Arabidopsis thaliana: one gene and its partners. The protein of the gene in region 2 interacts with the protein of the main gene of each other region in a pairwise test. Each region holds a gene or a part of one and is shown on either strand. Other genes may lie near its edges.

Region 1 (3,741 bases), on a different chromosome or scaffold from region 2:
TTAACCAAACTCTTCTCTTTTATTTTTGTGGCAACAAAAATAAATAGTGAAAGGGAATCATCTCAAACTCCTCCTAGATATAAATATTTAGGTTTTCGTCATTAAATAAAAGTTATTTTGGAAAAAATAGAAACAACGAACAAGATACAAAAGGACATAGAATTGATTATTCCAAGACGACGAATGTGAAAGCTGGCTAAAAGCTAAAATTAAATTTCGAGTGTGTTATTTTTGTAACATATTTAATGTAAGTGCAAATACATAAATAAATAGATACTAGAATTGGGGAGAGTGTCAGTTTGGTAGATGGTGAAATGCGAAAGGCACCCGATTTTTGTAAATCTCAATCCCGAGAAACCAAACCCTCCTTCGTCCCCTCTTTGGAAACATCATCTCTTTCTTTATTTCTCTCTTCCATCTTCTTCTTCTTCTAAAACAACATCTTAACAATTTTTAGTATTACTAAAAACCCTAGACGTAAAAGAAATGTGTTATTCTGTTCCTGATCTTTGTCTTAATTAAGACCATACATTATTTCTTTTAATTAGATGTCAATCATTATTCTTTACTAAATTTTTTTTCTTGAGTAGATTTAGGTTAATTTGCAATCTTGGATTAAAGACCTACAAAAATGCAATTGTTTTTTTTTAATGCAATTATTTTTTATTAAGTCTTTATCTAGTTTTTATATCATATAGTTGACAAAAGAAATGCACCGGAGGGCTCATTTATGGAACCAACATTAAGTAAGATTTACTATAACGGTTTTATGTATAAAAGATGTATATTATAAAGATCTCTAGCTAGAAACATGTAACACTATATTCGAATCCAATAACACTAAACTTCCTTGGCTTTCTTCTTGTTATATAGTGGCCATTTCTCTAACATTATAGATATATTGAGATTGTTGTTTTTACGTGGTAAGAAATATGGGATGTTAATTGGAGTTTCTTTTAATAAGAAAAAGGAGTTGACAAAAAAAAAATGAAGGACAGATTTAGGAGGTCACTGAGGTGGGGGGGACCCAAAAAAGGGTTGACACGTGGCCACCATGCCCGATAGATATCATGTGGATCTTAGTAGGATTAGGTCCTCAATTGTACGAACAAGTTCACTATCTCTTAGAGGATCTATTTGATCTCATCCATCTAATAATAATACTATATTACAGTCTGTACATAATGTATAGAGAGGAGGAAGCACATGGGAATGGGGCTTTGAAGATGGAGATATTCATGTGACCCGCACATGTCCTCTCCTCTCTCTTCCTTGTTCCCATGCAAGTAGTGTCTCACTGTATCCTTCTTCTTTTCCTTCCTTATCTCCACGCGCGTGGTCGTTTTCATTTCGTCCGTACTACGTAATTACGACAAAACTTACTCTTATACCATCAGGCATTAGTCCATTACCAGGCACCACCCGAATGGCCTATAAGCATAAGTGCATAACTATAGGGTTTGTCGTCGTCTACTTGAATTTTTCTTTTGGAAATTTAAGCTCACATAAAATAGTTTATACTCTTTATTCTTGTTGTAGAAAATAAGACTGGTAACTATGCAAAACAACGTATAGCAGCTATTACATTTATGGCTAAACCAGATCACAAACCATTTAGAGTTTAAATTAAAGTTCGAATAATATTTTAGCAAGTAATCCGGCTTGATAAATAAATGAGACACTTGCTAAAAGTAATCCGGCTTGTATTAACAACGCATATCCTAATACAATAATAAAGCATTGTTGTATAATTAGTTAATTACTATGTCAAACGTCTAGCTCTTAAACAAACAAATTTAACGTGCCAAATCTCATTTATCAAACAAACAAAAAAATCCAATCTAGATGCGAGGTTGATCCACTTAAGTGAGTGATGAGTCCACTAAAGTCTAAACCAGTCGACATGGCGCGTGAAAGCTCTTCTTCTAAAGATCCAAATCTGTGGAAGCAACCAAAGTAAGAGATAATTAAATAAATCTCCACAATCCGAAACACGAGGATAATAAAATTAAAAATAACGCACAACTGGACCCAGCTTTGATGGCAATACCGCTCATTTAACCATTTCCCAATTTCTAAATGTAGAATTTATTTTATATCGTTTCAATTTTTACATCGTTTTTTATAGACAAACCAAACCAAAATTCGTTCATAACCGAACCTTTCACTAATGTAAGCAAACAATGTAACATAAAGCATAGCAAACCAAATCAAACCGATAGAGTATTGTCTCTAAACTCGCAACAAACCAAAATAAAATCAGGTTGAACCGACCACATTTCAACATTTTTGTCTACTAAATCCATCATCACTCATATATATATATATAACACACACAGTTACACATATCCACATTCCTTACTTGTTCATTATTCTCTCAGACTCATCATTCATCTCTCTCTTTCTTTCAATGGAAGAAACTCTAGCCACTCCCGACGCCACGAGACGCTCTCTGTCACCGTCATGCTCAGCCACCGTGAAATCACGCGCCGCTGGTTTCGAGCGCAGAACCAAACGGAGATTGTCAGAGACTAACGCAAGCGTACGTGAAGACCGAGAAGAAGCAGAAGAAGAAGAAGATGAGGTCAAGGAAAAGATTGAGGCGTTGCAGAGGATTATCCCCGGAGGAGCGGCGCTTGGTGTGGACGCGCTCTTCGAAGAGACAGCTGGTTACATTCTGTCTCTACAATGTCAGATCAAAACCATTAAAGTCCTTACTTCGTTTCTTCAACGCATAGATCAAGAAGACATGAAGTTCGGAGGTTGAAGATTATCACACCAAGACTGCTCTTCTTTCTTCGATTCCTAAAAACAAAAAAAAACGTTTTTTTTTTTCAAATCTTTTATTTCCTTTTTTATAACATGGGATTTTAGCTTTGATATATGAGGAAAGAGACTCAACATTTTTTTCTTCGAATTTTTTTTTTCTTTAGTAGGAGTATAATCTTTAATTTTAATGTTCTGATTTATTTATTAAGCCGTTTCACGGTTATGAGAAGTGTTCATTAACGAAAATTAGCATTAATTAATGTAGTTATATAACTTATTTTAGTAGGACGCCATATAGTATAGATATTAAATTGGATCACGAGGTTTCACTTGCATATGAGATTTGACATTAATGATATTGAGAAAGTTAATGTTACGTGGCCCATTTTTAAATCTGGATGAGCTCATTTCACATGCTTTATTATAACAAAGATTTCCAAAGTCGGTCGATATTTATTTAAGCTTATGATGAACTTACTAGATTTGAGTTCCCGTGGTCCAACAATAGAGTTCATGTATATTCCTTGTACATACATATACAAGACAAATCTTTTTAGTCGTGTAAGTACTAGAGCTAGCATCTACACAGAAATTTAAACACATTTGCCGCTAGAAAAAAAACAATATCAGTTTTAGTATTCATTATAACGTAATTTCTGACCCACAACAATGCAGCTATATCGAACTCTATGGAACTATTTACTCCACACATAGCGGAAAGTCGGGGAAGATATAATTTTCTTACCAACCCTATCTACTCTCTATCCAAATTACATTACAAAGATGAATTTAAGGTTGAACATCGTATAGTACGAAGTTGTAATCAATAATGTTAACTTCAACATCCTTTACCAAACCAAAATTTAAAATAAAAACCATTGATAGATTATAACTAATCACATCCTGTATGGGCTAAAAGCCTAAAAGATTACGATTCCACATGTTTTTTGATTGCCTTAGTTATGTTATAAT
Region 2 (4,263 bases):
CCCTCCCCTAATTGCAAAATCCCTTCTGCTGATTTCACATTTGTTTCCTTCATTGCAAAGATTAAACAGATTGTTCATAATTCAGGCTTAGGGGCACATCTAAATGAAAGGTTGGAGTTGAATCTTACTTGGTCGACAAATTCTAGCAGGAAAGATTGATCTTTTAGATGATGATGAACTGAATAACTCTGTCCTAACAGACGGTGTTAAAGCACATGAAGCAGACATCGATTATTCACAGAGAACAACCTCGTAAAATTTTCAAGGACAAGAGAACCAGATATTTCAGAACTGAGAGATGCAAAAAGGACAAACTTTTTGAGCACCGAGTGTATGTGTGAACTTGCGGGAGAGTTGTGGCGACCCCTGAGCCAGACAAGTCGAATCCGCTCGACGAAGCAGAGTGTTTCTGAAAGTTGCGGTTTTTATGGTTTAACGATTAGGCCGGTAATTTCGACTTAGCTAAACCGGCCGGTTCAGCCGTATTTGTCCCAAAGATCCTGATTTTTTACTCATCATTTTGACAAAAGCTGTCAAGTTGATATTATCAAACAGAACTATTGATTTGTACACAACAAGATATTGAAGCACTCTTTCTTAAATTTCATGTTCTCTAACTCTCTTCCTCAGATCTTGTCTCACTGTTGCATAGGTGTGACATTCTTTTGAAGTAAACAGAAATAATTGACGTGGAATGTGATTCCTGTTATCACATAGATCCATCATTAGTGAAAAGAGCAAACAACACAGTTTTGTAAGTAAGCAAATTAGAGACGTGATACACACGATCTAGGGCCTTATACTTTGATGTGACGAATACGAGTGTTCCTTCCGTTTTCGTGATTCGACAAAATGCCTAATTGCAACATGAATGCATTGACACAAACTTCTTTACAAAAGAATACATCCTGAAACCCATTGAATCAAAAACTTTCTAAAACTTTTTTGTGGAAATTGCAAAAAACAACAGATACTCTCAACGTTAAGTATTTTGGCATTTGAAGCATTTACTCTTCTCATCTCATAAGCAGCTTGTTATTGATGTTTCCCAAAGAACCAATGAAATGGAAACCTCAAAGCAACCTGTACGGTGTGTTATTGAAATCGGTCTAATTTTGGATATATTTTTTCAAGTTCTTCAAAAAAAAAAAATCGAAATAGTATTGATTCTCTTGAATTATGTCACGCATTATAGATAATGTATAGATATATAATTAATAGGGAAAAAAAGAAAGTATAGGGACCAAACACTTAGATCAAAAGCAATGGTGTCGCCTACCTTCCTATCACTTATCTTCAAACCCATTTTCTTCTTTAGGTCGCTTATTTTGTGTCCCTATCAGTTATGAATTATAATATGTGATATTATAATATGTCATATATTCATCGAGTTGCCATCTCTCTAATATATGAAATCCACTTAAATTATTGGTGTAATCTATGGATTGATGAAGGGTAGTAATCATACGTCACAAGGATCACGTATAGATTCACAACAAGACATTGAAATGATATCACTCATGATTCAAACCATTGTTTCTATTCATTTGCAAGTTAAGATTCATAATTCACATTCCCCACATTCTCCACCTTCAAGCCTAAGAAAGACCCTCTCTCTCTCTCTCTCTAACAAAACAAATTGGTACAATTAGAAGGTTGTCTTACCAAAAACTCAATGATTTGATTTTACAAAAGAGGATATTTATATGATAATACCCTCATGAACCTTAAGTTTTACAAAGTTTGATTATTGTTGCCAAACAAAAAGATCCTCTCAAAAACTTGAAAGGCCAAAAGGAAAAAAAAAAACACAGAGAAAAGACACAAAAGAGACTAACTTAAGAGACTCCTCATCTCATGTTCATAAGGACATGACCACATGGTAGGTTATGTCAATTAGACCCCACAACTTCTCATCTCACCTTCTTTGTCCCCAACCTCCTCCACTTTTATCAATTTTGTCCCTCTCTCACTAGATTTCGAATCTCATGTGTGTGGGTCAATGTTGCTTTCTATTTAAAGCTAAGAATAATTATATCTAATGGATTACTTTTCTTCCACACATATATAACTTAACTCTCTCTTTTTCTCTTTTGCTTTAACCCCCTCAAAGAAAAGATAAGAGCCTTTTAAAGTTTTTTTTTTACCTTCTCTTCATGGACTTGTCTGTACTTGATAGGCTTAAGTGGCTGCAACAGCAACAAATGGTTTCACCTGAGTTTCTTCAGATACTTGGCTCAGATGGGAGAGAAGAGCTCAAAAGAGTTGAGAGTTACTTGGGAAACAACAATGATGAGCTGCAGAGTTTCAGACATTTTCCCGAATTCGGACCGGATTATGATACTACTGATGGCTGCATTTCTAGGACAAGTAGCTTCCATATGGAGCCAGTGAAGAATAATGGACACAGCAGAGCCATTACCTTGCAGAACAAGAGAAAACCAGAGGTTTGTAGCTCAAGAAAGTATTGAGTATTAGAGTTTAGATTTTGTTTGAAACATTGTTTCTGATCGTTTTAACTATTGGTTTTAGGGTAAGACAGAAAAGAGAGAGAAGAAGAAGATCAAAGCAGAGGATGAAACAGAGCCAAGCATGAAAGGGAAATCAAACATGAGTAACACAGAGACATCTTCAGAAATTCAGAAACCAGATTACATTCATGTTAGGGCTAGACGAGGTGAAGCCACCGACAGACATAGCTTAGCAGAGAGGGTAATTAACTAAAGTGTTGTTGTTAAATAGGTTTCAGAGAAATTACTTTCATTAGAGATTTGAGTGGTTTTATATTTGTGGGATTTTGGCAGGCAAGAAGAGAAAAGATAAGCAAGAAGATGAAATGTCTACAAGATATTGTTCCTGGATGCAACAAAGTTACTGGAAAAGCTGGTATGCTTGATGAGATCATCAACTATGTCCAATCTCTGCAACAACAAGTCGAGTTCTTGTCGATGAAACTCTCTGTCATAAATCCAGAACTTGAGTGTCATATCGATGATTTATCCGCAAAACAGGTGAATAATAGTCAGTTTTCATCCCAAGAACTAACCAAGAGTTTAATTACCGCATTTATTGACTGGTTAAATATTGGAATCTAGTTTCAGGCTTACTTCACAGGTCCTCCAGAAGGTGACTCGAAGCAGTCAATCATGGCGGATTTTCGGTCTTTTCCATTACATCAGCAAGGATCTTTAGATTACTCAGTCATAAACTCAGACCACACCACATCTCTCGGCGCTGTAATAATCTTTATCTCAGACAAATCTTTCATTAGTCCCAATTTTTTGTTACTTGTCCGTGAAGTAACTTATTTCTTATTCTGTTTTGCAGAAAGATCATACATCATCAAGCTGGGAAACTCACTCACAGTGTCTTTACAACAGCTTGAGAACCGATTCTGTTTCCAATTTCTTCAGCCTCAAGTAAAAAAATTAGGGATAGCCTCATTAAAAAAATCGCGGTTTTTTGTTGTTGTCTTATCCATTTATCTATCTTATCTGAAATTTGAACCAAAAGAGACAGAGGAAACCAATCCAAAGATCTTTCTCAATCTATTATCTTCATACAAATATAGTGATTTACATATATTCCAGGGGATATGTATATGTGTAGAAGAAAGAGAAAAAACTCTTGTGGTCATAGCAATTCCTTTTTTTGTACATTGTAGAATCAAACTCTTGTGGTCGTAACAATTATTTCCTTCACAAATTACAACTACACTTGTATTAATGGAGATGCCTTTTGGCCTGGTATCAACATATACAAACCTAAGCCAACAAACAGAGAGCCAAAAAAAAAATCAAAAAAATTTCTCAAAAATTAAGTTAAATCCAGCCTAATAATGTATCTTATGCTTCTTTCTATTTTTTCTTCTTCTTGAGACTGGAGAAATTGAATCCAAAAAGACCAGATTTCTTGGGAGATGGTGTTATTTTAACAGGTTCCGGATGAGTAACTGGAGTAACAACCTGTGAAGTAGGCGAAGCAGTTGTTCTTCCTTCTGGTCTGGAGGAAACTTCTTCTTCTTCTTCTTTGTCGGAATCTACTTCTACAAGAGCTCTAAGTAATTCTGATGCACTCACCTTTACTTCCTCTGTTCCATTGTTGGATATCAAGATTAGAGATGAGTAAATATCAGTTGCTTCTCTCACGACAAGACAGCAATACTCTATCTTCTGCACACAGAGCTGAAGGAGGATGGAGATTGCGTTCTCTTGCTCCTCGGGAACATTTGACTCGAGTAATTCAGCTATGGAAGCTAAACAA
Region 3 (5,166 bases), on a different chromosome or scaffold from region 2:
GCAAATAAATTTGAAAACCTTAGATAGCTGGAATTATGATTTACAGTAGTAAATTTTCATAGTAACAAATTTGAACTTCCAATCCGAAATATATTTATTTCTATTAATGGAAGATAACAATTACAGCCAGCAACCTTTGTGATACATGTTTTTTTTGTTGTTGTTGTTGAAGTAGAGCCCATGAGAATTACGCAAATCGCAGATTCGAATAGTGGTTTCTTTGACTCAGTTCGTAAAACAGATAATTCATTAGGTTGCTTTGTTCTTCACCAACAAATTTTCTGCTTGATTCTAAAGTATAAATTGAGAAAATTTAAGTATCTAAATCGAAAATATATTCTTAAATTCGAAGTAGATAAACTATTTTATTGTAAGTGACACTTTAGTGAATAATTGGATATGTTGTTTCTTATCATTAATTTGTCATGTGGAATCATTCTAGCTTATAACTTTCTAAGGTACAGAGAATATGCCACGTTACTGACACAATTATTAACCCTTAGCCCTTAGGTTAAATGAATACTATTATCTATGAAGCATTGCGCATTGCGCTCTGTTTCTAACATCCTTTCCACCCGCCTAAAAACATCTTAATACAGTATATATACCATTGTGGTACTTTTATGTCTAACATAAACTAAGATAGGTATTTTCCATTTTAACTGCTGATCAAACTCAACATAGTGAACAGTACAAACAAAAATCAAACTAACAGTAACTTTTCTAGAAAATTAGTTTGAACGTAGCTAGCTTTATTTATATATGAATTAACCCAATGGAGAAGTTCAGAAGCTCCTTTTTTCAGCAGGATATATGAATAAAATGACGCCACTCCCTTATACTTTACCCAACAATCTATTAATCTTATATCTACTTATACATATACACAAAATTTAATGAAATTTTATTCATACATATTGATAGATACACATACAAAACTTTTTTTTGATAAAATACAGGAGTTAATTTCAGTGATCTTTTCTTTACAGGGAAAGAAAAAAAAGCCGTAAAGAGAGGCAGTGCCACTAACCCTACATCGCACATGCATTTCGTTTGGTATATTACTTTATGCGTAAAGTAGTATTTTAAATACAATTCCAATATTTACGAAATCATTGCACTGAATACAAAATCCAAAGTTTTGAGTTTTTGGCCCCTCTCTTTTTGCCCTGTCAGTCCATTAAACGACCACTATAAGTCGTAAATGGATTTCTCCAATAGTAATATGACACGTCATCCTTTCGTTTGAATCTACCTTCCTCCTCCATTCCACCAAAGTATCGGCCTTTATACAAGTTTGTTTGTTTTCTCTTTTCGTAAACATCTTTAGATATCAATAAGCTAATTTAGTAATTAAGATTGTACCCTAAATTGATTGGAAACTATCGTTATGGATGCTCTACCCACATTAGGATCTTTGTAGCATTTCTATTATGTATTTTACTCTCTATTTAGATTATGTCTACAAAAGATCGAAAACTCGTGATTGTAAGAAATTTTGTATATAAATTTCTTTCTAAAATCTCTGTCAAGAGGGTAAGTTTAAAAAAATAATTGTGAACTAATCAACGTGGAACAAAACTTTTTAAGTATAATCATAATTCATAAACATTGCTTCAAGTCACAATGATGTCTCTGTCTCTCATTATTCCAAAACCATTAGAGGTTATAGAGCCAGTTAATTATAACTTATCAATTCCACTAGTGTTGAGAATGAAATTATTTGTTTCTTGGTGGTATTCACGAATTCTCTTTATCATGCATTACAAATGCCACTTTCGTATCTGGCTAAAACAACAAATACTAAAAAACAAATTGACAAAACGACGCCGCTTATTAACTGCTACATCTAAAACGGGGCCGTTTGTTAACTGCTACGTCTCGTGATAGTTGATACCTCTCTCCCTTTATATATCTTCCTCTTCTTCTCCCTTCCATTATTCTCCACAATTTCATAACTTTCTTCCGCTCAACTTCAGATAAATTCGGATTCTGTAGCTCTTTCAATACGACTGCGGAGATCAGAGCCAATTATTTGGTTATGGCGTCTCTGATCTCAGATATTGAACCGCCGACGAGTACTACTTCAGATCTCGTTCGGAGAAAGAAGAGATCCTCTGCTTCATCCGCCGCATCGTCTCGTTCAAGCGCATCTTCCGTCTCCGGTGAGATTCACGCGCGATGGCGATCGGAGAAGCAACAACGGATCTACTCAGCCAAACTGTTCCAAGCGCTCCAACAAGTCCGCCTCAACTCTTCCGCCTCAACATCATCATCTCCAACGGCTCAGAAACGAGGAAAGGCCGTCCGTGAAGCCGCCGATCGAGCTCTTGCCGTTTCCGCTCGGGGAAGAACACTCTGGAGCAGAGCGATCTTAGCTAATCGGATCAAACTGAAATTTCGTAAACAGAGACGTCCTCGAGCTACGATGGCGATTCCGGCCATGACTACGGTGGTTAGTAGCAGCAGCAACAGATCGAGAAAACGGAGAGTGTCGGTGTTGAGATTGAATAAGAAGAGTATACCGGATGTTAACCGGAAAGTACGTGTTCTAGGCCGGTTAGTTCCCGGTTGCGGTAAACAATCCGTACCGGTGATTCTAGAAGAAGCAACTGATTATATTCAGGCTCTGGAGATGCAAGTGAGAGCCATGAACTCTTTAGTTCAGCTTCTCTCCTCCTACGGCTCAGCTCCTCCACCGATTTGATGAGGTTAAAATCGTCTTTTTAATTCTACCATCTCTCGATCTTTCACAGCTTATGTGTATATAGAAGATTCGGTTTGATTATAATCTGTAACTACTCTTCCCAACCGCTGATTCTTCTCTGCTACAAGTAAAAGTAAATTTTGAACCGAGTCTTCCCATTTTTACGATCCTCAAGTCTAAATTAAGTATATGATTGATTAATAAAGTCTTTACCATTAGGGTTCAAATCGTAGTTGGATTATTTGATTTAGATTGATGAATTCGTTGTTGATCAAAAAAAAAATAAGATTGATGAATTCGTTATTGGAGTTAGTGGGAAAATGGGTTCCTCTTTTAACCTCATAGTATGTGATAACTAAACCAATATGGAACTTTTGATGTACTTTTAGTTCATTCAATATGGCTTTGTACTATATCATCTTATGTACTATATGAAATTTCAACATGAAATAGATTTGTACTGCAATAAAGTGGAAAGAAAATAATTTCCCATTTAGAATTTTAAAATACATTATAGTAGATGTAGGAAGATAATGGGTTAACTTTAGTTTTGATTATGGTAGCATGTGATGATGCATTAGAGAATGAATGGAATGATACATTCAAATTCATTGAATTGAATGATGACTGATGAGATTGATCTGTCACTCAATCATCTACTCGCTTTATTGCCCCTCCTTTGAATCCCATTTTTGATACTTATAGGTTGTTTGTCTTCTTTTTCTTTTCTTTTCCTTATTTCACAAGAAATATAAAGGAAAAAAAGAAGAAAAAAGATTAAATTAGCTAATAATTCCCTGTTACTAAATAAGTTTTCTCAAACACTAATCTGCAGTTCTGCACGTACTGTATATCCTTCAATATTCATCACGAAGCAAAACTGAATAACCTGTAGTTAAAATTGACTTAACAGGAGTTTGATTCATTAGCTTAATTAATATACGAATTTCTGTGATAGGGATATGATTTAAGAACACTGGAGTATGACTAGGCGACAACAAGAGACAAGTGACGACAAAAGCAAAAAATATTTAAAACATAGAGAGAAGTGACCTTAAAAGTATGAGGAGGCACATGGGAGTGGCCATGCCTTTGTCCTCTTGTTTCTTTTTAAGCCTTCTCTTATTAACTTGCACGACAACTCTTTTCATCACATATTTCATAAGTTATATTATTATTGCCAAAAGGGACAAACTATTAGAGAAAATAAACCGCAACATTGTAGAAGATTGGATTAAAACTCGCCAACACACTATTAGAGAAACTTGCCCAGATAAAATTATGTCCATGTCGAACACAGTTATAACCAAGGAGCCTAATTCCCAAAAAATGATTTTTATATTTGGAAACCATCCATTGCAGATACTCCTGGAGGTTTCTCCTAGTCTTCAGTGCCGAAGATTTCACGACAAAAGAAGACTTGAAAATCTCGATACTCTTTTGCGGAACTTTCCCACCGCGACACAAAGAGATCACTCCACAGAGATATGAGGCAGCTTTGAGTCCTTTAGACGCGGCTTTTGCAAACATTCGATCCCTTTCTCTTCATCAACAATATTACTGAATAGGTAAAAGCACTTCACAATTCCTTCACGAGCCACTGCTTCCGTGTTTCCGCTCTCTCTGCATCTCTTGAGAAAACTCTAGCTTTAGTTATAGGTCATCGTTTGCGGTTTTGATTTCGTCGAGGCAGACGTGTTCGAGAACTTGAGGGTCGTTGCAGAGATTATGTAATGATTTGCATACGAGGCTGAAGTTGAACAAGCTTGAGTGAAGAAAGAGCCACGCGTGGCAAGATCTCCTTCACAACCACTTCTTCTGGGAGAGACTCCATTTTATAGTGATTTGAGAAATGATATTTTAATTTAGGGTTTCAACTTAGACGTTTGCTTATTAAATTGTGTGAATAAATAAATATATATATATATATATATATATATATATATATATATATCATTAATAAATAAATAAACGATAAGAGTAACCTTAAAAATCTAGTTGAACCCTAAACCCTATGGCTAATATATACAATGTAATATATTATTCCTCTAATCATCTTTTAGAAATTTTTTATTATTTTTAATTTACACATAAATCAATATCTTTTTCAGATATAGTTTTATCTACATTGTATGTAATACCTCCATGTTGCTACACGTTAACACTTGCATATTTGTTACTCAATCTAATTAAGCAGGAATTAAAAACAACGGTTAACCGGAAAACTTTTACTATTTATCCATTCAGTATTATCTTATAGCTCAAATTACTTTTAGTTTTTACATATAGGATATAACTCTCACACACGTAAAATACGATTAAATTTAAATTCAAACTAGGACACTTATCTAATCTAGTGTTATCTGAATTCATAGAGTGTTAGAAGAATTAGGAAACGTTTTTTAATCAATAACATCATTTTTGGGAATAATATGTTTATCAAATATAAACCTACCCAA

Evidence for each region. Proteins that work in one complex are often made in the same cells at the same time.
Region 1: the proteins of BEE2 (region 2) and PAR1 interact in a two-hybrid assay, tested with the Arabidopsis thaliana proteins (2 studies listed by BioGRID).
Region 3: the proteins of BEE2 (region 2) and AT3G06590 interact in binary tests that used the Arabidopsis thaliana proteins (3 or more experiments, as listed by UniProt).

What each region holds. Positions count from the first base shown.
Region 1 is NC_003071.7:17,835,857-17,839,597, reverse strand, and holds PAR1 (phy rapidly regulated 1), read left to right. Parts: upstream 1-1,979; 5' UTR 1,980-2,410; coding exon 2,411-2,767; 3' UTR 2,768-3,182; downstream 3,183-3,741. UniProt on the Arabidopsis thaliana protein: Atypical bHLH transcription factor that acts as a negative regulator of a variety of shade avoidance syndrome (SAS) responses, including seedling elongation and photosynthetic pigment accumulation.
Region 2 is NC_003075.7:17,241,543-17,245,805, forward strand, and holds BEE2 (BR enhanced expression 2), read left to right. Parts: upstream 1-2,040; 5' UTR 2,041-2,156; coding exon 2,157-2,447; intron 2,448-2,532; coding exon 2,533-2,712; intron 2,713-2,804; coding exon 2,805-3,011; intron 3,012-3,095; coding exon 3,096-3,236; intron 3,237-3,327; coding exon 3,328-3,423; 3' UTR 3,424-3,754; downstream 3,755-4,263. Other genes in the region: AT4G36530 (alpha/beta-Hydrolases superfamily protein), read right to left, coding at 1-47, 129-228; AT4G36550 (ARM repeat superfamily protein), read right to left, coding at 3,858-4,263. UniProt on the Arabidopsis thaliana protein: Positive regulator of brassinosteroid signaling.
Region 3 is NC_003074.8:2,052,188-2,057,353, reverse strand, and holds AT3G06590 (basic helix-loop-helix (bHLH) DNA-binding superfamily protein), read left to right. Parts: upstream 1-1,687; 5' UTR 1,688-2,041; coding exon 2,042-2,707; 3' UTR 2,708-2,711; exon of another isoform or gene 2,712-3,665; 3' UTR 3,666-4,275; exon of another isoform or gene 4,276-4,354; 3' UTR 4,355-4,607; downstream 4,608-5,166. UniProt on the Arabidopsis thaliana protein: bHLH transcription factor that binds DNA on specific sequence 5'-CANNTG-3' in target gene promoters. Negatively regulates brassinosteroid signaling.